4 linked regions of the Schizosaccharomyces pombe genome follow. Changing the gene in region 3 together with the main gene of any one other region gives a genetic interaction. Each region holds a gene or a part of one and is shown on either strand. Other genes may lie near its edges. The genes, in order: nxt2, def1, mog1 and cid13.

Evidence for each region.
Region 1: of mog1 (region 3) and nxt2, a mutation in one rescues a mutant of the other (synthetic rescue), as found in Schizosaccharomyces pombe (one study listed by BioGRID).
Region 2: of mog1 (region 3) and def1, a mutation in one rescues a mutant of the other (synthetic rescue), as found in Schizosaccharomyces pombe (one study listed by BioGRID).
Region 4: of mog1 (region 3) and cid13, a mutation in one rescues a mutant of the other (synthetic rescue), as found in Schizosaccharomyces pombe (one study listed by BioGRID).

What each region holds. Positions count from the first base shown.
Region 1 is NC_003424.3:2,400,150-2,404,603, reverse strand, and holds nxt2 (nuclear import protein Nxt2), read left to right. Parts: upstream 1-3,008; 5' UTR 3,009-3,031; coding exon 3,032-3,038; intron 3,039-3,080; coding exon 3,081-3,163; intron 3,164-3,232; coding exon 3,233-3,304; intron 3,305-3,356; coding exon 3,357-3,458; intron 3,459-3,536; coding exon 3,537-3,644; 3' UTR 3,645-3,954; downstream 3,955-4,454. Other genes in the region: serine/threonine protein kinase S6K family Sck1, read left to right, coding at 1-237, 354-1,044, 1,094-2,060, 2,111-2,303; GATOR2-SEACAT complex WD repeat subunit Seh1, read right to left, coding at 4,069-4,087, 4,142-4,454.
Region 2 is NC_003423.3:568,299-575,124, forward strand, and holds def1 (RNAPII degradation factor Def1), read left to right. Parts: upstream 1-2,639; 5' UTR 2,640-2,762; coding exon 2,763-5,654; 3' UTR 5,655-6,022; downstream 6,023-6,826.
Region 3 is NC_003421.2:2,246,164-2,250,348, reverse strand, and holds mog1 (Ran GTPase-binding protein Mog1), read left to right. Parts: upstream 1-2,143; 5' UTR 2,144-2,184; coding exon 2,185-2,757; 3' UTR 2,758-2,988; downstream 2,989-4,185. Other genes in the region: cell wall and secondary septum 1,6 branched 1,3-beta-glucan synthase catalytic subunit Bgs4, read left to right, coding at 1-1,070; Golgi rhomboid protease Rbd2, read right to left, coding at 3,434-3,746, 3,901-4,177. UniProt on the Schizosaccharomyces pombe protein: Involved in the Ran-GTPase system for nuclear protein import and poly(A)+ mRNA export. Required for mitosis-to-interphase transition.
Region 4 is NC_003424.3:982,664-989,367, reverse strand, and holds cid13 (cytoplasmic poly(A) polymerase Cid13), read left to right. Parts: upstream 1-2,347; 5' UTR 2,348-2,620; coding exon 2,621-4,357; 3' UTR 4,358-5,801; downstream 5,802-6,704. Other genes in the region: tif308 (translation initiation factor eIF3h (p40)), read right to left, coding at 1-620, 800-906, 946-971; protein Slf1, read left to right, coding at 6,113-6,704. UniProt on the Schizosaccharomyces pombe protein: Polymerase that creates the 3' poly(A) tail of suc22 mRNA.

The sequences.
Region 1 (4,454 bases), on a different chromosome or scaffold from region 3:
ACCGAAATTTTCGGTAAATTGCATCGATCATCAAATTCTGAGAATACAAATCAAGCATCGCCATCCACAATACAATCGCATTCAACGCAACCGGTTCTTTCCAATGACCATTCTACGAAAGTAAACGATTACGAAGGGAAAGAGGGTGCTTCGTCTAATGGCTATGATCCCGTTTTCATGTCGGATCGGATGAAGATGCGTTACAATGAGATTACAGCTCAGCTTCACAAAGAACAGGTATGTTATAATTGATTTTTTGCTTGAAAGACAATCTTCCCCATAGCTTTCTTTATTGTGTTTTTCAAAAATCACTGTCTCCATAAATTGTTGTTCACTTGGCTAACCTATCATAGTCCTTAAAGGAAGATAAAGAATCTGGTTCTAATAGTTCCGAAAGCAATGGAATTACACCAATGGGTACATATTCAGAAAAACCCAAACTACTACAGAGTCGTACACCTCCATCTTCGTGTTACATTAGGCATGATACCGTTGTGCCAAAAGATAAAAATGGTCAGCATGCTTTTGGACGGCTTTATGTTCGATTACATCAAGGTAGAGATTTGAACGTCAAAAGTGTTAATGCACAACCTTATGCAGTAATCACCTTTGAAAAAACGCAGGTTATGGTACCTCCTCCTTTTAAAGACATTGACGGTGGGATACCCATTTCCATTCCTTCTAAAAACCGTCCTCTTGCTGGATCTGCTTCCGGTTCTTCTTCTGGACTACATTCTGAGCTAATGTTGGCTGATGTGCGTTGTCCTCATTGGGATTTTGAAACTGTATTTGATGTGACAAAAATGAAAAGTCAAATGGTTGTATCTGTATATGACAAATATGAAGACGATAAATTTTTGGGCTCCGTTAAAATTACACCAATTTTCCTACATGAATATGTGCAGGAAGCATGGTATAAGCTTGAGCCTCTTGACTTAACTAAGTCTCTGGAGGGTGAAATAAAAGTGGAAACAATTTACGAGCACATTGAACATGTTCGTTATGGGCCAGAAGATTTTACGGCCCTTCGTTTAATCGGAAAAGGTAAAGCTGCTTTAAGCTAAAAAATTTACGGTATACTAACTTTATTTAGGCACTTTTGGGCAAGTTTATTTGGTCCGTAAAAACGATACCAATCGGATTTATGCTATGAAAAAGATATCCAAAAAATTAATTGTTCGTAAAAAAGAGGTTACACATACCTTGGGCGAAAGGAATATACTTGTCAGGACTTCATTAGACGAATCTCCGTTTATTGTTGGTTTAAAGTTTTCCTTTCAGACCGCTTCAGATCTTTATTTGATAACTGATTATATGAGTGGAGGCGAACTTTTCTGGCATCTTCAACATGAAGGTCGCTTTCCTGAGCAAAGAGCTAAATTTTATATAGCCGAACTTGTTTTGGCTCTTGAACATTTGCATAAACATGATATTATTTACCGAGATTTAAAGCCTGAAAACATACTATTAGATGCAGATGGTCATATTGCTCTTTGCGATTTTGGTTTGTCTAAGGCAAACCTTTCAGCTAACGCAACTACTAATACCTTTTGTGGAACCACCGAATATTTGGCACCTGAAGTTTTACTTGAGGACAAGGGGTATACTAAACAGGTCGATTTCTGGTCTTTAGGAGTCCTTGTCTTTGAGATGTGCTGCGGATGGAGCCCCTTTTATGCTCCAGACGTCCAACAAATGTATCGTAATATTGCCTTTGGAAAGGTCCGTTTTCCAAAAGGAGTTCTTTCATCAGAGGGTCGAAGCTTTGTTCGAGGCCTTTTAAATCGCAATCCAAATCATCGTTTAGGAGCAGTTGCTGACACTACTGAATTAAAAGAGCATCCTTTTTTTGCAGACATAAATTGGGACCTACTTAGCAAGAAGAAGGTTCAGCCGCCTTTTAAACCGAATGTTCAAAATGATCTGGATGTTTCCAATTTTGATAAAGAGTTTACCAATACTAATGTGAAAAATATCAATATAGTTTCCAATGTTGATCCCGCTAATGCCTCGACACCTCTATCCAACACGATTCAGGACAGATTTCGTGGTTTCACTTTGTAAGTTTATTTTTAAATATTTGACCATCAACTAACCTTAAACTTTATAGTGTCAATAAGTCCATTGATGAACAGTTTCAGAACCTGGGACTACAAGAAAACGAAGAGACAGATAATTTACATGCGTGTCGCACAACAACCCATTCATCGGTTAATTCAATAAATTCACATGGGAATCCACGTACGGTGGATGCTAACGATCCCGTCGCAGATACTGTGTTCGGCGAGACGTTCGAAGCTTGATAAGCTTGCTCCAATCAAAAAATTTGTCTCCTATTATCCACAATAGAAGATAACTTATTATGTATTATGTTCCCCTTTCGTTATAGTTATTTTGTCTCTCAAAGGCTTCGCTCCGTGTTTTCTAGTTTACCCAGGAATTAAAGCAAACTGTGGGTGTTTTGCTTTTGTTTCCTTCTATCCTTTATTATTTGTTACGTTCTATTTTGTAGTCATCTTCATATTTTATTATGTGAACATTTAATAGATTAAGTTTTACATTTTTATCCCAACTCAAATACTTGTTGCTTTCTTTTAATTATGATTGAAGGTGCATTAATTATGCAAAATGTGAAATACATCGTTATAAAAAAGAATGTAGCATTTAATAAGCAATCTTCACAATCAAGTAAATATTATGTTCCATTTCGTTCATGATACTAGTTAGACGCTAGCACCATATTTTTTCTCATAAATTTTGTCTCAATAGGAACGGATAAACATCTATCCTGTTGTTTGCATGAAGTAAAACCCCTTCAAATCTTATTGCAAATTCGTTTTTCTACCATTGCCAATACTATTCGAATAGAGGACTTTTGCCAAATAACACAACTATAAGTTTATCATGTTATTTTACATATTAAGAGTTGTATCATTTTACGTTAAATTACTTAAGGTGTCTGTACGATCTTTTTTGACGCGATTTTTCGAACTTGAAATAATAGGTCTACCTTTTACCACCATCTTTCATTATGGCTGGTAAGATAAAAATTTGTATGATTTATTGCTAATACTCTGCAGACTATAATGCTTTGGCGACCCAGTTCACTCAATTTTACTACCAAACTTTCGATTCCGATCGTTCTCAACTTTCTTCACTATACGTATGCGACTTCTAATTATGAAATTAATCCTACGTGTATTTATCTGGGCAGCTAACTTATATATATTAGAGAGAAGAGTCGATGCTGAGTTTTGAGGGAGCCCAACTCCAAGGAACTAAAGCCATTGTGGAAAAACTTGTTGTATGATAATAACTGAAACGTCTTCCTTTTTTTTATTAACTGTTTGGTATAGAGCCTGCCTTTTCAACGCGTTCAACACCGCATCTCAACTTTGGATGCTCAACCTACTGGTACTACTGGATCCGTAATCGTTATGGTTACAGGTGAGCTTTTGGTAAGTTATAAGATTGATGTTACTTATTCTATTCATTTTTTTTTTTTTTGCTTTGCTCTTTTTTTAACCTTTTTGTAGTTGGATGAAGAGCAAATGGCCCAGCGCTATAGCCAAGTTTTTCACCTTGTTAACAATAATGGTAACTACTATGTCTTAAATGACCTGTTTCGTTTGAACTATGGTTGAAGAATATCATAGTGAAAATATTTAATACAAGTATCTTGATTATCTGCAATTTCATTTTCTTTTTTTTTATGCTTTTGTAGCGATTACCGGATTTTCAAACTACAACCTGTAGCAGATATAGCTTTTTGAACCCATCGCTTGTTTAGTTCGTTAAAACAAATTTTCGAATTGAACTCTACCTAAAAGTTTACATTAAGACTTAGTCTAATTTCGAAGTTTTACGCTAAATGAAAATTTAATCTCAAAGCGAATGTTAGTTCACTTGTCTAAAATTATAAATTAAAACCAAAAATTTATAAAGTAATATCTCCTTTTTTACAATTTGGTTATGATCTAGCTGGTAAATATGAAATAATTTAAGAAAGGAAACCAAGCAAGGTCGGCCATTCAATGTATCTGTTACATTAAAATTGAACTAAGTAAATCACAATTTTTCAGGTTTTCTGTCACAAGTTAGTATCATATATTCATGAGGCCGAAAGCATCTCTGAACTTACTTTTCTAAAGAAACGACAGATATGCATTTAAATAAATTTGCATAGGACGCTTTCCATAAACGAACGCACCCATCATCGCCCGAGCTGCTCAAAATAGTTCCTGTCACATTAAAACGGCATCTCCACACTTGACATTTATGGTTATCATATTCACCAATGAGTTCCACCTTCAAAGAATTTAGATTGAAATTTGAGTCTTCTGTCATTGAATTTCCAGCATCTTCTTCCTCTTGAAATACTTCTTCGCAAAGGGTTTCAACTTTAAAAATACGAACATTCCCATCTTTGCATGCAGTAGCTATCAGGTAATAAC
Region 2 (6,826 bases), on a different chromosome or scaffold from region 3:
CAGAAACGTACTTTAGTATCAATGAGGGCAAAACAATGTGTCCGTGCTTTGTAGCCAAACGTTTAAGCAGAATGTGCTTTTGGTGGCTGATGAAAAGTGGTGGATAATGAACTAGTTTTATTCAATGGCAACCCACAAGCCAACGAAAGTTCAACATTATATCTATTTAATTTACATATTTTTTAGAATTCTTTCATTGATAATCAAGAAAAATAAAAAAAGTAGGCTCACCTCTAGATACACAATCTAATATGCTTCGTAAATTTCGCAAGCTCAATGTTTATTTGGGATTAGAGATATCTTCATTATGCTTTAAAACAGTGCTTTTACATACTATAAGAAATTCAGTCTTGCCATTGTATTACATATAAACTGGTTTCCAATAGTTTCGAGAAGGGTCGATTTTGGAAAGGGTTGAAATCGGTTTAGTTTATGATATTTTCAATAATGTTAAAATACTGTTTGTCGTTTTAACTTGGGACTCGTCTTGGCTGATTTGAATAAACCACTGAAGTTTTTTGTCTTTCTTTTTTATTCCTCTGAATCGGAAATACTTTTCCCGATAAGCGTTTCGAATGAATAGAATTGAAATTGTTTTGTCCCTTTACTTTCTACTTATATAAAAGAAGACGCACTTCTTTTGGAGACATATTCTCAAACAACACAAAATATGCTGGATTGTAAATACTCAGTTTAAACACATATGAGAACTTAAAGTAAGATATCTTTATTATCAATTTATTTTATTAGCTTCACATGAAGGAATATAAATTACATTTATTTCAAAACCTGATTAATACTTGTTCGCAGCTTTAGGTATGTGTATAAATTTATTAAATATGCTTAGTAACTGTCTACGGCCACACCTAGGCGAAAACACCAGTTCCCGTCCGATCACTGCAGTTAAGCGTCTGAGGGCCTCGTTAGTACTATGGTTGGAGACAACATGGGAATCCGGGGTGCTGTAGGCTCCTTTCTTTTTTTTTCGGAATATTATTTTATTCTTACAATGTTAACGGCTTCACTGAATTTTTTATGCTGCTTTGTTGATGATACTGTAAAAAATAGTGACAAATAAAGATTTTGAAATATATCAAACCTATCTGTAAACATTTGAGAACAATTCTAGCGTACGAATTAACTTGTCCATATCTTGTTGTCATACGAATGCACTGTTTATTGTTCATCGTTGACAGTTTTCAATGTAAAATCAATTTTTTATTTGAGAAAATGGTTTCTAATGTGCCGCTTTTGTTAAAAAATTATAGTGCAACAATAGATAGATATGCTATTCCTTGAAATGTGGGTTTCTTTTCATTACTCTTTACAGTTTTCTGTTATGTTGTCGTTTTGAAAATGGACTCTTCACAAGAAGAGAGTATTGACTTTAGCAATTTAAACATAGAATCTTAGCACGTTTGATTTTATTATTTTATAATTAGTTAGTCATTTGAATTGCCAAAAATGGTGACTTAATTTTGGTTACTAACAATTGAATAAAAAAATAAAATAAAAATAAAAAGAAGAAAAATCAATATAAATTGCGAGATGATACTACTAAAGTTCACAGCAATTTTTTTTAAAAAACAACGAAAATTTGTAAAAAATGACAAAATTAAAGATGAAATAGTAAAATAATGCGAACGCTTCATCAAACCATTTGACACATTAGTTATAAGCATTGACAGAAACTTTGATAATAATGCTTTTAGAATTTATCTTAATATAACTAGGCGATTATTCAGCTGTACAATTTAGTTTTTTTGAATAAATTATAATGTTATTTTATCAATATTCTATGTTTTTATAACTCTACAATTAAATAGATATATGCTTTTTAATAGAGCATTCTAACAAGCTTTGGTGGTTTAGTGGTATAATGAATCGTTGCCATCGATTCGACCCGGGTTCGATTCCCGGCCAAAGCAATGTTTCTTGTTTTTATTGTTAATTTAATATTAGCAGGCTTCATATTTATTTTTTTAGATAAAGGGCATCACGTTTATAAGTGTGGTTCACTTGAACCCAACAAAGTGAATGAAGAGCTTCGAATGTTACTGAAGCCGCGTAATTAGAACGGATGGATTATTACTTGAAGCAGTAATTAAAGTTTTCATAAATTGACCAACTGAATACCCGATATTGCATTGCAAATTTCTAAACATACCAACGTGTTAGGAATCTGTAATAGCAAAGCATGGAACGAAAGGTGTTTAGTCAACTTGAATTTAGCTAAACGAATTGCACATCTTTTAACAGTATCGAAGAAATTGGGCAATAGAAAAGTTAATACAATGAGCTCTACTTTCATCATATTTTCATGTATTCAGGCAAGCAGCTAACTAGCTATTGTCTTAAGAGCAATAAAGATACACAACGGTAAATCGTTAAATACAATAGTAAACTGCACTCCACTACTATATAAATCAAGCTTTTAGAAAAGGTAATCGCAAAAATGAAGAAAAAGTAAAGTAAAATTTAAACAATAACATTGTTCTTTATAACGTTATAAGTTTTTCTATGTATAAAAATTTCAAGGAAAGCTATAGTTTGCACTTTAGCGCATTCACTACCACCTTGCTCTGGTATAGGCAATTTCCATTTAAGCAAAAGCACTATGCTGCACGACACCAAAACGCAGCCAGAACCACTACCCTTAAATAACACGAAAAATCTTGCATATCGTCTTGAAGCACGAATACACGTGCCTTGTCGATTTTCAAGACCTGTATTAATTTTTGTAAAGAAAAGTAGAATCAAAAATGAGTGAGAATAAAAAGTTTCGGCCAAAGAAGGTCGGAAATACCGAACAAGTTTCAGAAAAGCAACACACAGATACAGCGTTAAATATATCGCAAGATAATAAAACTTCATCCTCTTCCGCCAAGAGAGGAGCGAAGGGAAGGCGAGGCACCAAAGGAAAATCTGGCCCGGCAAATTCGTCTCAGACTAGTAATATAGAGGGATCAAATGCGCTTGAGCTCGAATTTGATCGTGATTCGCAGTTAAGCGTATTGCAAGAGCTGTTTCCTAGCTGGACGATTGATGATTTAAGTTTTGCTTTAGAAGAAGCGGACCGGGATTTGGAACTGACCATATTGCATATTACTGAAGGTCACGCCTCCAAATGGGGTGAAGTTAAAAAGAAGCCAATCCCTAAAACAAAGTCCAAACCAACAAGTCATGCTCCAGTTTCCGATAATGTCTCTTCCACCTTTCGTAATGCTACACGTAAATCAAAGAAACCTTCCGCTTCTAAGGATACTTCTCGGGGGGTTCGAAAATCAAAAGCAGGAGCTCCCTCAGATCCTTCTTCCGTTCATGCACCATCCTCTTTAGAAAAGCCTGCTGGTACTGGCGATCTTCCTTCCTCAGAAATTTCTACCAAAGCTCCTGCATCAACGACAGTGTCTTCTTCCGTTGATCCTGGTACTATTAATGAAGATTCCTCAATGAAAGATCATACTACATCTAATGAACAAGCTTCAGTTTTAACATCGGCTAATACCGCTGCTTCAACAAATACGAACGGCACCGCAGGCGGTACTTCGGCCTCAGCAAAGTCGACCAGTGCGGCTGATCAGGCTGTTGCATCTTCAAAGCCTATAAAGAAGGCTTGGGCTTCAGTTGCAAAGTCGAAGAAAAAGGTCACTCCCGCTCCCGCTCCCGCTCCCGAATCCGAACCTTCTAAACCCTCTATCGCTCCTTCTCAACCCTCTAAAACTAATGTTTCCGCTGCTTACGAAAAACCTGCTGAACTGTCATCCTCATCTGTTCCTTTCCCTCACAAATCCCAGGACTCTGCAACTCCCGCAAATGTTGAAACGACCCCCTCCACAGCTACCTCAGCTCCCAAAAAGAGTACTGCCCCATTTGCCATAAATGCAGTCAAGCCCGCTCCTGGGCTTTCCAACATCTCTTCTGCTTCCCTACCTAAGCCCTCCTTTGCGAAGCAAGCCGCTGTTGGCTCTCAAAGCTCTACAACTAGTATGACTACTGCTCGATTACTTTCTGATAGATTCCCCGTCGTTATGCCTGTTGCTAATACTGCTGCTATTCCCGAAAAGGTTCAAGTGCGTTTCGGAAGCTTGACACTTGGGGGTGAGGACAAAAAATCGACAAAGTCTTCTTCAGACAACATAGCACAGTCTGGACCAAGAAGTTCCTATTTTCCTAAAAAGACAGTTTCACCAAAGCCAGAGGCAAAAAAAGAGGCGAGCAAAGTTGCTGAATCCACCAAAATCCCAAAGAAACAACACACTTCAGCATATGAAAGCCGTGCTCCACAATCGAAGGTTCCCGAAAACTTGAAGGAATCTCATGTTAACGAGACACCATATCGTGGTTTACACGATGTAAATTTACCGGCCAGTGGAAACGCCTCTTCTGTCTCGGCCATCCCTCCTCAAGTATCAGCCCAAACGACTATACCCGCTGCATCCACAAGTGCTACAAGTGGCCCGGTGGTTGGTAAACAAAGTGCCGGATATGGCGGTATTTATTCTCCTGCTACACATGGAATTTCCCCTCAACCATATGCTGGTGCTAGTCTTATTCCTCCGTCTACCGGAGCTGCTTTTAACAACGAAACTGCATCTTCAAATGCTGGGGAGACAACTGCACTTCCATATTCTTCTAGATTTATGAATCCTGTGGAAAACCGCTCCGCCAATAGCCCATTCGACAATTTTCAACACATCGACCATAGTACTGAATTGGGATATGCTTCAAATACTTCTCAACAATATCAACAGACTAGTCATCCAGCATACACTACTATGTCTCCTATTGAATATGGTCAAGCTGCACCAGCAGCTCATTACTATAATGAGCGTAATCAATACTCACAATATGATAATGTCGCTGGTAGTGCGTCGAATACACCAGATGTGCACTCGGTAATGCATAACAAGGTTGCATCTTCTAATGCTACTTCTCTACCTGCTGCTGGAACAGCGACTCCTAGCCCTGTTGTTTCTCAACAACAGCCCCAACCTTATGCATTTCCTCCAATGTATCCTATTCCTTATGTGTCTTATGGATACGGTACGATGCCTTACAATAATAACAAGTTTGGACAGCCCCAGCAAGGATACATGTCTCAGAGCGGCTTTAATGATTTCCCTCCCATCTTTGGTGGACACAGCAACGTGTACAACAGACAACAGCCTGGCAATGTAAGTGGTATGAGTGGAACACAAACTAGCAACCCAATTAATAATGCCACTGCAAATACTAGCGGCATGACTGAGAAAGCGGCTGGACATCGTGACTCTGTGATTGGAAATGGAGGCGTAACCGGGGCGAACAGCATGTCAAGTACTTTGGGTGGTTTGTCTTCCATGTCAGGGATGGGACGTGCGGCTCCTGGTATGTTTATGGGTAATGTTGGAAGTTTTGAAAACCTTAGTGCCAATGCGGCCTCTCCTTATGGCTTACCTCCTCAACAAACGCCATTGACCAATGCTGCTACTCAGCAGACAACCTCTTTTCAAAGCAATGCTAACAAGGTCAACAATGCAAACAGCCAACCCGCTGGGTTTCCGTTCAACTCTGGAGCATCTACCAATGCAGGTAGTAATGGATTAGGAGGCTATAATGCATACAACCAGTCATTTATAAACCGACCAGGAGGTTGGTACGGTAATGCTTAAATTGAACTTATGATCAAAAAGTTTGATAACGTAGAAGTTGGAAAATGCTTTTTATAAGGATTCAAAAATAGGCTAAAAATAATTGCGGACAAGATGCTATTAATGGAAGGGTAAAATCGATTTTATTGGGACAATCGAATTTATGAAGTTTTTCAATATATATATGTGTGTGATTTATATGGCTATGTGGTCACATGTGTTTTCTGTTTGATAGTGCTTAATTATGTAGTTTGAAATGTTGCTTGTTCATATCATAACATATCATACCACGCCGTAATGTTGCCATTATATGGTAATTCCTTGTATGTTCATAGAGTATTTTTTTATTGCATTATTAAAACAAACTGGCGTTTTGGAAGAGGGAAAGGGTAAATAAAGATTTGATGTTAAGGTATTTGTAGGTGTGGGTAAGCAATGCGAAGTGGGATAACTAGTTTCAAGTAATGATTATTATATTTCCAAAAGTCAAGTGCTAATGAAACACGTTTAATCAGTTGGCAATTTAGGGGGGTGGTTCACTCGGCATTCCTATTTTAAACAATTTTTGACGGCAAATGTTAAGCGAATTCGCTAAAGCAAAGTGTAAAAAAAAAAAAGCTTCGCTAGTAATATATGCCACACTTCAGTCAACAACACTACGTCAACCCTATACGCTAAGTCTACTGAATAGAAAAACTTGATACTTTTATTTACATTGAAATGAAGAGCAAATTTGTATAATACGTATTATTGATTCTAGAAATATAGCAAATTGAAACATCCAAATTTAGCAAAACAGCATGTCGCTGTTGTAAAATTCTCATGAAAAAATAGAATGTCTAACCTTCACTACTGGCAAGATTCGTTCATGTAGATGTAGTTGAAGAAGAGACAGTGTCATACACAAACGTAGAAAAAGTTCTGAAAAGGAAAAAGACTCCTAGTAGATTATAATTCAAATCAAATCAAACCAATTAAATTCAATAGATCGATGTCTTGAAACATTAATTCCTATAAGGTTGAAAATAGTAGCAATATAACGCAAAAATAGCGAGTCGTAATAGCAAGTAAAATGGTAGTCATTATAAAGGGTTAACTGTATTTCAAGTATAAAGAACGGAGAAAGTTGGAGCAATGGCAATAACACATCGAGGAGTAATTTAGGAAAGTAGTGAGAAAGATGTTAGAAAGGA
Region 3 (4,185 bases):
GTAGGGTACTAGGTCAACCAAGCGATAAAATTTCAATGGATACTCCACGAGCAAAGTTTACGAATGTTTTCTTTAGCGATGTGTTAATCCCTGCCTTGTTAGCTGCTGGTGCCATTATCCCTTACTTCTTTATCAATTCTCAGCCTGGAAATCCCATGTTTATCACTGATCCAAATAATCCAAGCCCATATGTTCATGACACAAAGACAGGTACTAATCCCATTTTGCGACTTGTTATTATCTCTCTCATTCCTATTGCAGCAGGCTTTGGTATGTCAGGTTTCTTTGGTGGTATGGCTTGTTGTTTGGGTCCAGCCTTTGGATTGTGCTGTAAAAAGTTTCCATCTATTTTTGCTGCAATTGCCCACACGATCCAAATTTTCATCTTCATTGCTATTTTTGAAGTCTGCTGGTTCCTTGATGGATGGTCATTACCCAAGACTGTGTTGGCCTTCTGTGCTGTTACTGCAATTCATCGTTTTATCTTCAAAATTTTAACACTATTATGTTTATCTCGTGAGGTCAAACAAGATAGTGCTAATATTTCTTGGTGGAGTGGTAAATGGTATGGCAAAGGATATGGCTATCATGCCTTTACTTTGCCTGCTCGTGAATTTGTCTGTAAAGCCATAGAACTTAATTTGTTTGCTACTGATTTCTTCTTGGGTCACTTATTACTGTTTTTTATGCTTCCTGTGATTTGTATCCCATATATTGATCGTTGGCATTCAGTTCTTCTTTTCTGGTTGCGCCCAAGTCGTCAAATTCGTCCTCCTATTTTCTCTACCAAGCAGAATAGACTGCGGAAACGTATTGTTCGTCGTTATTCAGCCTTGTACTTTTCAATTTTGGTAATATTCCTTATTCTTATTATTGTTCCATTGGCAGCTGGTGCAGAAATCCGCCAAGGATTAACTGCTTCTGAGGCTGTTGCCAAGGGTGCTGTTGGATGGAACCAAACTAACTCTTCAATTGGTAGCGGTATCATTCAACCAAGGGACACGAATTATACTGCTAATTATTCTTTCTGGTACGACAGATACCATTTCGAATTCAATACCACTTACTAGATGGGATTATTAGAAAAATCATTTAAAATGAATTTGAAAAGATGCGCTAGTTCGCTATTATATTACACTGATGTTCTGATGAGCTTTCGTCAAGTATCTCAGCAATTTATTAATTTTATTTGTTACACTCATTTCATTCATACATTTCAGCATGTGCTTGGTCCCATCTCTTCGACTTGAGTTATTGAGCTCTGAAGGATAAAAGCAAAGCTAAAGGGTTAACCGTTTATCATTTTTTACTCATACCATCTTTCTATCTACGTTACATTTGCTATTTCACCATTTACAAGTTTGAGATTGATGAGTTTTGTTACAAGCCTTTTCAGGTTACAGTTTGATGGGCTAGGATTTTATGCATATATATACATTTCTTCATTTATCTATATACAAATGAATAAGAATTCCCATTGGTTCACAAAACTTTTACCTATATTATTGCTGGTCAGTTAATGGATATTTGTTTAAAATATAAGGTGATGTAATTGTGTAAAAGTATTGAAGTAGATTATGATACCGTACATAAATTGATCTTTTGGTTGAATACTTATTATCTAGTGAACGTTTAATTTAGGTTTTTCAGATCAATAGAAAGTTTGAAATAACCACTCTAGTGTGCAATTCCATTTCTCTTTTGTATCACACAAGTGGAAGGCTGAACAACTAATCAACTTAATCGTAAAAGTTATCAGACGCCCTATCCTTGTATTAGTTATGGATATCTGAATGGACTCATGATTACAAGATTACGAGCGTCCTTTCATCCATTTGATATACTAGTTGTCAAAACGATATTAGAAACTATATATGTGTACAAAATTTTATTTTTAACATATCATTTTCATTAAAAATCATCAATTTGAATTTCTTTTTATTTTAATTTTAAATCAGTTTAGTAGTTACCGTGCAGTGCGTAAATATTGAAAATTGAATCTAGGCTCATTTAAAGCGTTTTACTAGCGATAAATATAATAATGAAACATAAAATAACACGCACTAACTTGTTACCGCAGTCGAATGAAATGGAGTGAAAATAGGAAAGAATCCTTTTGTGGTTCGAATACCAATCTGGTTCTTGAGACAAACAAATCTATTAGGTTTTTATATTTTTATAGTAATGGTACAGCTATTCGGTGGGGCTCTTTGTGCTGATTTCCCTCCTAAATTTCTCGATGCTAGCGTTTTGCGTCAGATTCCTGACAACCAAGAGGTGTTTTTGCAAGATTCCAAGGAAAACCTAACAGTGATCATTGAGCTTTTGGAAAAAATTGAGAAGCCATTTGATGGAAGTGTGGCAGCTTACCATTTCAATAGCATTGCATTCGATAATGATGCATCTCAAAGAGTAATTTGGAGAGACAAAAGTCTTGGTGAAGACGACTTTGAGGGCATGAGAAGCGAAAAGGCTAGTGGATCTTCTGTACAAGGTTGTCAGAGGGTCCTTGAAAAAGGAAAGCGAAATCCTGAATCCGCTACCAATGTGGCAATCTTCGTGAATGTGATAACTTTGATTGACTTTCAAACAGATATCGTAATCTCCGTAAATGCTCCTTTACCTAACACTTCCTCAGTTCCCTCTTCTGTTGAAAACATTCCCCCTTCTGATCAAAGCATCGTTCGCGCTGCTCTCGAAACAATACAGCGAGTTACTCGATCTCTTGTACTTGTCGATAAAACAGTATTTGCTTAAAGGATGATGGACATAGGCAAGCAAATTAACTAGCCCACAACACTTAATTAAGATTTTCATCTAGGGAAATACTTTTCAAGTTTTATTTTTCTTTATCCGAAAGGAATTGTTTCTCTTATTTATAAAAACCGGTTATTCCAACTTGTATGAAGGGTTTTAATAAAAACATCTGATACTTGATAACCGATTAGCAATGGTTTTCACTTTTTCTGCTATTATTTTAATTTTCCCATTCTTCCATTGTTAATAGTATAAGTTTCACTGTGTCTTTACAGTTTAATGTTTTATGATTTGAGAGTACAACGTAAAACGCTAGTTTCCAAAGAATAACGGAAATTACAATTTCAAGGTGTTTTGATTGTACAGCTTTTGTCCTTTACACTGCCGCTGTAGGACAGTGGTGATTAAAACAAGTTAATCATAAAGAATTATTAAACATTAAAATACTTTCTAATTGTCCCTAACTCCGTGCAAGTAAAGAACAAATATAGCGAATGAAACAATCTTTATGATTGAAACCTGTAAACGACTGACTAGAAAATACTGAATAAGAATTACCAAAAGATAGAAGATCTCTTCATTGAGAGGAGCTTTTCCACCCTTTGCAATAAAGAAAACAAACATTTAGGATATCATCATACGAAGAAGAACAGAAAAGAAGTAAAAGACAGAAAGTTCATCCCCCAAGACGGGTTCCTTTTCCGGGGAAAGAAGAAAAGGTCGACAGAGGTTCCGCAATGGGGAGTTGAGCATGCGACAGTTGATCAAAAGAGTGATAGTTTTTTACCCAAGACTGGAAGATTGGGTCCACATTTTGAGCCCAGCTTTTTAAGGGGATAGAACCAAGCATGAAAGGAGTACAATACCCCATAACAGCTCCGGATGCATGCCCGATAAAGCTAGCTTTTGGAACCAATATGGTAGTCATAATTAGGTAAATAATAGGAAAACAATATGCAGGAATGCTGAAAAGATTAAAAAAGCTGATTCTAAAAAATAAGTTAATAAACCGCCATCATTTAAAAGACAAGAGAGGTTCGACGTTTGCAAAAAATCATACAAACCAGGTTGTTTCTTAACATTGTGAGGAAAGAAGACGTGTGGAAGTATGCATCTGCAACCATAATTATAAGAAATGCTTACAATCGTTGTGGAGAGTGAACACAGGAAGCAGAGATAAAAGCAAAAGCCCATCCACTAAGTCCAGCAATAGAAACGTAATCTTTTCTCAAGAAAAAATGGTAGACAATTAAATGCATAATACCCGGGAAAAGAGTGTAAGGAATGACCGTCACCAAAATGCACGCCAAAGTGCCTTGCTTCTTTTCAAATTGAGACATTGCTGGCAACAGGGATACAAAGTTAAATACAATATGCAACATTGAAAGATGAAGAGTTACATAAGTTATAATTTCATACACTACTCTC
Region 4 (6,704 bases), on a different chromosome or scaffold from region 3:
AATATTCTTTCTATATCTGGTACCCAAACTAACCTCAAAGTTACTGAACGTTTCAGTCAAGGGTAAGTTGCTTTCACAATCTTCAAGAGCAGCTTCGGCGGTTAGGGTAGAAGCTGGAGTAGGAGGCTCACTAAGAGAGTGGAGCAAACAGGTAGCCAAATGAGAGTTGTGAATAACAATAGGAAGTTCACGGATAACATTGGAAGGAGTCAAGTTGTGGCTATTGAGGGAGGAGGCGGTCCAAGTTTTTTCCTCATGGGCAGCCATAAACTCTGGAGTTAACTGATAAGCACGCATGTACAAAGTTCCATTAGAAGATTGAGACAAATCATAAAGAAAAGCGATACTGTTGGGGTTTGCCTTTTGATAAGCATATTGCGTTTCTACAAAAAAGGGGCTACTTAAGAATGAACTAACATAGGCTCCCAAATACCAACCAACGTGACCAGTAACAGCACCAATGTACTGAAGACGATTAAGCATCGCCTCAGTATGAGCTTGGCGTGCTTTACCGGAAACAGACTTGTTAACAGCAGACTCTTCATTTTCAAGAACAGACGGAGACTCGAAGCTGCTACTGACTTGTAAAACACCATCAATGTCAATACCAACAAGCTGACCTGAACGAAAGTTAGTTAAAAATATTATTTCAAGAGAGAAACTGTGGTTGATAAGAAATTTCACTAAGTAGAGCATTACTGAGCTGACAAATGCATAGCTGCATCTTTGATGCAGAAAAATTGCAAGTTTTATCATTTCGAAAAATAGGGAAAACTTATTCTCCAATGACTACACTTACCAATTGTTCCCATATTAGGAAAAGAATCACGGCAGTGCTTGATGATATTCATTACAAGTAAAGATTCTAATTCCACCCGCTCAATAGGGGGAGACTCCAATTCTGGACTACTGAATTAGTTATTTATATATCTTAGTCATTCTTACACATTCAATGAAGTTGTATCAGACATGTTTTTTAAGTCTGCCAAGTAGTTGGTTGAAGTGCAAATTGCTGTACGAACTTCTAAAGGAGTTAGTGTTCACCAGTTTAATGACAAGTAACAACAAGTAGCAACTTTTTAAAGCCATGGCTGTCGGCGATTACAAGTTATAGAATAGAGGAGCCTACCAGTTTTATTAAACCTTTTCTAACTAGTTAAAAAATTTGTAAATTTTTTTTTTGTTTTCTCGGCCTTAAGCTCTATTTTCATGACTTCTTTTACTAATTTACCGAAATATGATTTTCATGCTTATTGTAATTTAAGAGCAGCTTCACCGCCTTGCAAAGTCTTTTTAATATAGTGTAATTGACACTGCATTATACTTGAAAGTTCAACATTATTCGTTGATTGGAAATGAATGTGACTGCTTTTCCGTTATATTTACTATATATACGGGTCATTATCCTCAACAAAACACTATCGACGATACTCCATAGGATCATTTCTATAGTATACGTCCGGCTTGGGTTTCCTAACCTAGCCACAGAACTCAACACGGATGATGATAGGAGGCACCGTTGCCCTCAGAGTGAGGACTTTTAATTCTTTGAAGGCATGCTTTTCGATTAGGTTTTTTACCTAATTGTTTTGCTGTCTTTCTATGCGATGATCTCTTACATGATATGTTTCCTTTTGGTCGTATTATGTAGGGCAGCTGGTGTTTTCTGACGTGTTTAATTTCATCTATTATATTACAACTGTGGTGTCGTTTGATGACATAGATGTAATTTCTAGATGAAGTTGTGTCATGTTTTAGCGTAGATTTTAGTGAATAAATGAAACGATTTCAAATTCCGTTAGATTGTTTGATTTATGTTTCTTATTAAAGGAGTCAATTGTATGGTATTTGGAGTTAGATGGATAGCTTACTTGGCGGCGTTTTTTATTTAATATTGTCTGCTGTACATTCGTTAGTAGTAAAGTATTACACGAACGTTTCCACTCAATTGGAAAGTCAAGTCCATGCTTTGTGGGAGCAACATTGATCATGTATGTTTATGTATTGCTAGTTTGTTTATAGAATAACGCAGATTACGGAATCACGCTATTTAACGTCAAAACGTCAAGAAAGGTGTCAATTATGCTCGTTGTCATGCCAACGTCATTGTTTGCGTTTTTTCTTTGATGATTACTTTGTTTATTGTTTTCAGTTGAAGATTGTAAAAATATCATTAGCTGAACGTTGCTTTAAAGGTGTCTTACGTGAATATATTAAGGTTACTTTATAACGGCGTTGTATATTCATTTGTTACTTATTTACCGATCCTATGTTGATGCCGTACTTGTTCCTTGTGTAGGAAAGCTGATACCTATGTACGTACGTATTGCTGTTAGGCGGTTCTTTTATCCCACACCTCTTCCTAAGAATAGCTACAAACATTACCAACTTCATATTAATTCATCAATACGATCTTGAAACTTAGAAGTACTTCTAAATTGTCTTTTCTTGTCGATAGGGCTCGTACATTTGAACTGTTCTTGCTGGATCGTTTCAGATCAAAGCTGATCATATTACAAAGAACTCACGCCTTTACTAGCTGACAAGGTAGGATAACGTCGGAATCCATAGAGAATTTGCAACTTATTAAACCTTAGAAGCTTCTTACCCTCTTAATACTATGGACAACGCTAATTGCGTTGGCGGTTGCAAATTTGAAACTCGCAGCTTTCAATATAGAAGGCGTATTCCTTATAGCCTCGGTGCGGATCCACTTCCGCCAGTACATCCTCTATCATTAAAGAATTTAGTTGATATTGATACTGATCTAATTTCTTCTCAACTGTACGAGTTGTATGACTCTATTATACTGAACGACTCGGGTTTAGAACGTCGATATGCATTTGTGCAGAAACTCGAACAAATATTGAAAAAAGAATTCCCCTATAAAAATATCAAAACCTCCCTTTTTGGGTCAACCCAATCTCTTCTTGCCAGCAATGCATCAGACATTGATTTGTGTATCATTACTGATCCGCCTCAATGTGCTCCAACGACCTGCGAGGTGTCAGCTGCCTTTGCTAGGAACGGACTTAAAAAGGTCGTTTGCATTTCAACAGCTAAAGTGCCAATTGTAAAGGTTTGGGACTCAGAATTACAACTATCATGCGATTGCAATATCAATAAAACTATATCTACCTTAAACACGCGTTTGATGCGCTCTTACGTTCTTTGTGATCCCCGAGTTCGGCCCTTGATTGTTATGATTAAATATTGGGCAAAAAGACGATGCTTGAATGACGCTGCCGAGGGCGGTACACTCACTTCTTACACCATAAGCTGTATGGTTATAAACTTTTTACAAAAGCGCGATCCACCGATTCTTCCCAGCTTGCAAATGCTTCCTCATTTACAAGATTCGTCTACTATGACTGACGGGCTGGATGTGTCGTTTTTCGACGATCCAGATCTTGTTCATGGTTTTGGTGACAAAAACGAGGAGTCTCTTGGTATCCTGTTCGTAGAGTTTTTTCGATTTTTTGGTTATTTATTTGATTACGAGCATTTTGTTTTATCCATTAGACACGGTACCTTTCTTTCGAAACGAGCAAAAGGATGGCAATTTCAGCTTAACAATTTTCTGTGTGTTGAAGAGCCTTTCCATACATCTCGAAATCTAGCTAATACTGCAGATGAGATTACCATGAAAGGAATACAATTGGAATTTCGACGTGTTTTCCGTCTTTTAGCGTATAATTGCAATGTCGACGATGCTTGTTCGCAATTTACTTTTCCCTCTCTAACTGACACAAGCTTTATGGACGATTATGTAAATGAACTACAATTGGAAATAGTTCCTGGTTTCTCCCATGGTCGTGACTCTTCGGACACCAGCTGTACAGAATCCCCTCCTGAGCCATCACATTTTGCTTGGGCCTTTGATCCTTATAATGCAACCGCTTCTCCCTATTATAATCAGAATATTAATTCATCCATTGACTACTCTTCTATATACTCAAACGACGTCCCTGCAATCCCTCCCAATGTCCCTTATACCTTTGTTGACCCTTACACCTATGCATGCTATATTAATAATAATAGCTATCTTCCACCCTCATACATGGACTTTTATACATGGTATAATTCTCCCTACCCCAAATCTTCACACCATTTTGATGAGAGGCATGGCGGGGATCGTCACGAAAAAAATTTGTCTAATTCTCGGCGATATTCTCGCAATAAGTTTCACAAAAAGAAGCAATCTTCGGGTCCATTCCAGTACTATCCTGATGCCTTCTCTTTTACTCCTACGGATAACAATTCACCTCCTTCAAATTCCTCTTCTTCTGAAGTAGTATCGCCAGTTAGCTTACACAGTGAGCCGGTATTATCCACAGTACAAGCATTCAAGAGTTGATGCTGAAGGTTTGGTGACGTTCGCTGATGGTTCGTTAGTAGCTATCTTTCTATCTTAATTTTTCTAATTCATACTTTTTACATTATTTTTGCATATTGATTTCGCCAATACTTGAGCCTTATTCGCTTGCCCGCTTTCGTTTATCTTTGTTGTCCACTTTACTTCTTCTTTTCTTTTTCCTTTCTTCCGTTATATTTAATGATAAAATGACTTAGGAAAGTTTTTTCATTTTATTATTTGCAATTTTTACTATTTACTATTGGTTTTCTGGTTATGTGTGGAGTTTTCGGCTCAATTATATCGTTTTACTATTTATAAAACTATTTTTCCCTTCTATTGCACATACGAAAAATTTTGTTGAATGTGCGTTTTCTTTGCGTACTGTTTATCGCGAGAATTATTTAAAAGCCTAAATTGTGTTCTTAAGTTCAGTGGAAACATTAGCATTTGTAAAGGTTGATATCTTGGTGGTTTTGCATATTAGCATTCACGAACTATCAGTCTTTTTAGGAACTATATCTTCTGTCTAGATTGCTTTTACTCTTCACTCTTATAAGTTTAATAACTTACAAGTACCCCCTATCCCTTTAATCATTTTGACCGTGTTTCCCCTTCCTCTACCTACAACAAAACTTCGTACTCAGTTTTCGTTGTCTTTACATTTTACCCGCCATTGATGGCTTGAATAGTGTTGTCAGAACATATTTTGTTTAAATTCTGATTTGGTTTAAAAAATGAGAAAACGCCAAAAATTAAAAAAAACACAAAGAATTTACCTACTATATGGTACATTTTGAGCTAGGAAAAATACTAGCAAGTCTTACGAGATGAACACTAATCGCTTTTCAGTTATTGAGTTTGCTAAGAAGTTTGGATTTCATCACGTTTATTTACATAACTTTTTTTTGCAATTGATTAGATCTCCTTGAGATGCTCCTTGTCATGGGAATAAATCTTATGCCATTGATTTTAAGCAACGGGTTTTTACATACTCTGTCGAAAGCCTGCACAGGAGTGAATCATCAACCCATTAATGTGAGTGCGAACAAAGCACTGGTATGAGTTGTACAGCATGGGAAAATGTTTTTTTTTATTTTTTTTTTTAAATATCTCTCCCCTGCTGAAATGATAGTTTGATTGATTGAATAAATCTTTATTTACTACGTTGCCTTGTTACCGTTGTTTTTTCACATATCCATCACACTTCACAGTGTTGATGGATTTACTTTAGTTTACCTAAAGCTCTGTAAATTTTTATTGAAGAGTTTGATGCATTGCATTAAATCAATTTGCATATCTTTAATTTTACATGACTTGCCTAACTTTTTTAACGATAGTTTTAAGGTAAAATGGGTTAAGCTCAATAGTGTTAAATAGCATAGTATAGCTTTTTGCGGATTAACAAGAGGTAAGCATGATCAACACCGTTCGATATTTAATGCGGTTATCCGCATTGATGATGTCACTCAGTATACCGTAGTACGCAAGGTGAATTCACTCACTAAGTTGTTTTGCTCTTCCTTGAACTCGAAGATTGAAAATTTGAGAGCGGATTGAGTGAAAAATTGGGGTTTTTTGAGAATTTAAAGGAAACTCGAAAAACGTTCATATTCGAATAGCTCAAGAGGTATTGTAACATAAATTTGAGGTTGTTCGGAATAAAAGGGGGAATTTTTCAAAAACGGCAAACGCTGCTTATCGAACTTTAGAGAGTAATAGGGTTCAGGTGAAAACAGTTTGCGTGTATTTACTTGAATGAGCTCTATAATCCAAAATCCAATTGAATCTTCATACTTTGTGGAAGATTTATCGGCGGTTGGAAATAGTCAACTTCACAGTGGTCGGTCACTTACTTACGGCGATCGAAAAGCAAACATAGACACTAGAAGTGGTGGAGGAAGAAGATTTTGGAGTAATTTAAACGATTCAGGGAACAGTTTTGGCGCAGTACCGGCTTCCTCTATGAATTTAAGTTACGGACCAACGAAAAGCGCAACTATTTCCTCGAAAGATGGAGCGATGTCTCGCAGTAGTCGTTATTATGTCTCATCAGAATTAAAGGCTACCCTCCCTTCTCTAGATGGACGTCGTTTGAGCAAACGAAACGCTGCTAATCATGCTTCGCATCATCGCATGCCCGATGAGTCAGCTAGCTATCGCACACGTGGGGAGTATGAAAGTAGCTCTCCTCGAGTACCTCAAAAATCTTTAAGGCGTTACTACTCAACTCGTACTGCTCAACGTTTGGACGTTCGACGTCCCGCATCGCGATCGAGTCGATACAGCAAAACAAGCGATCTTCCACCTTCTGACCCGGGGAGATTTGTGGACGATAGCGATTTGACTC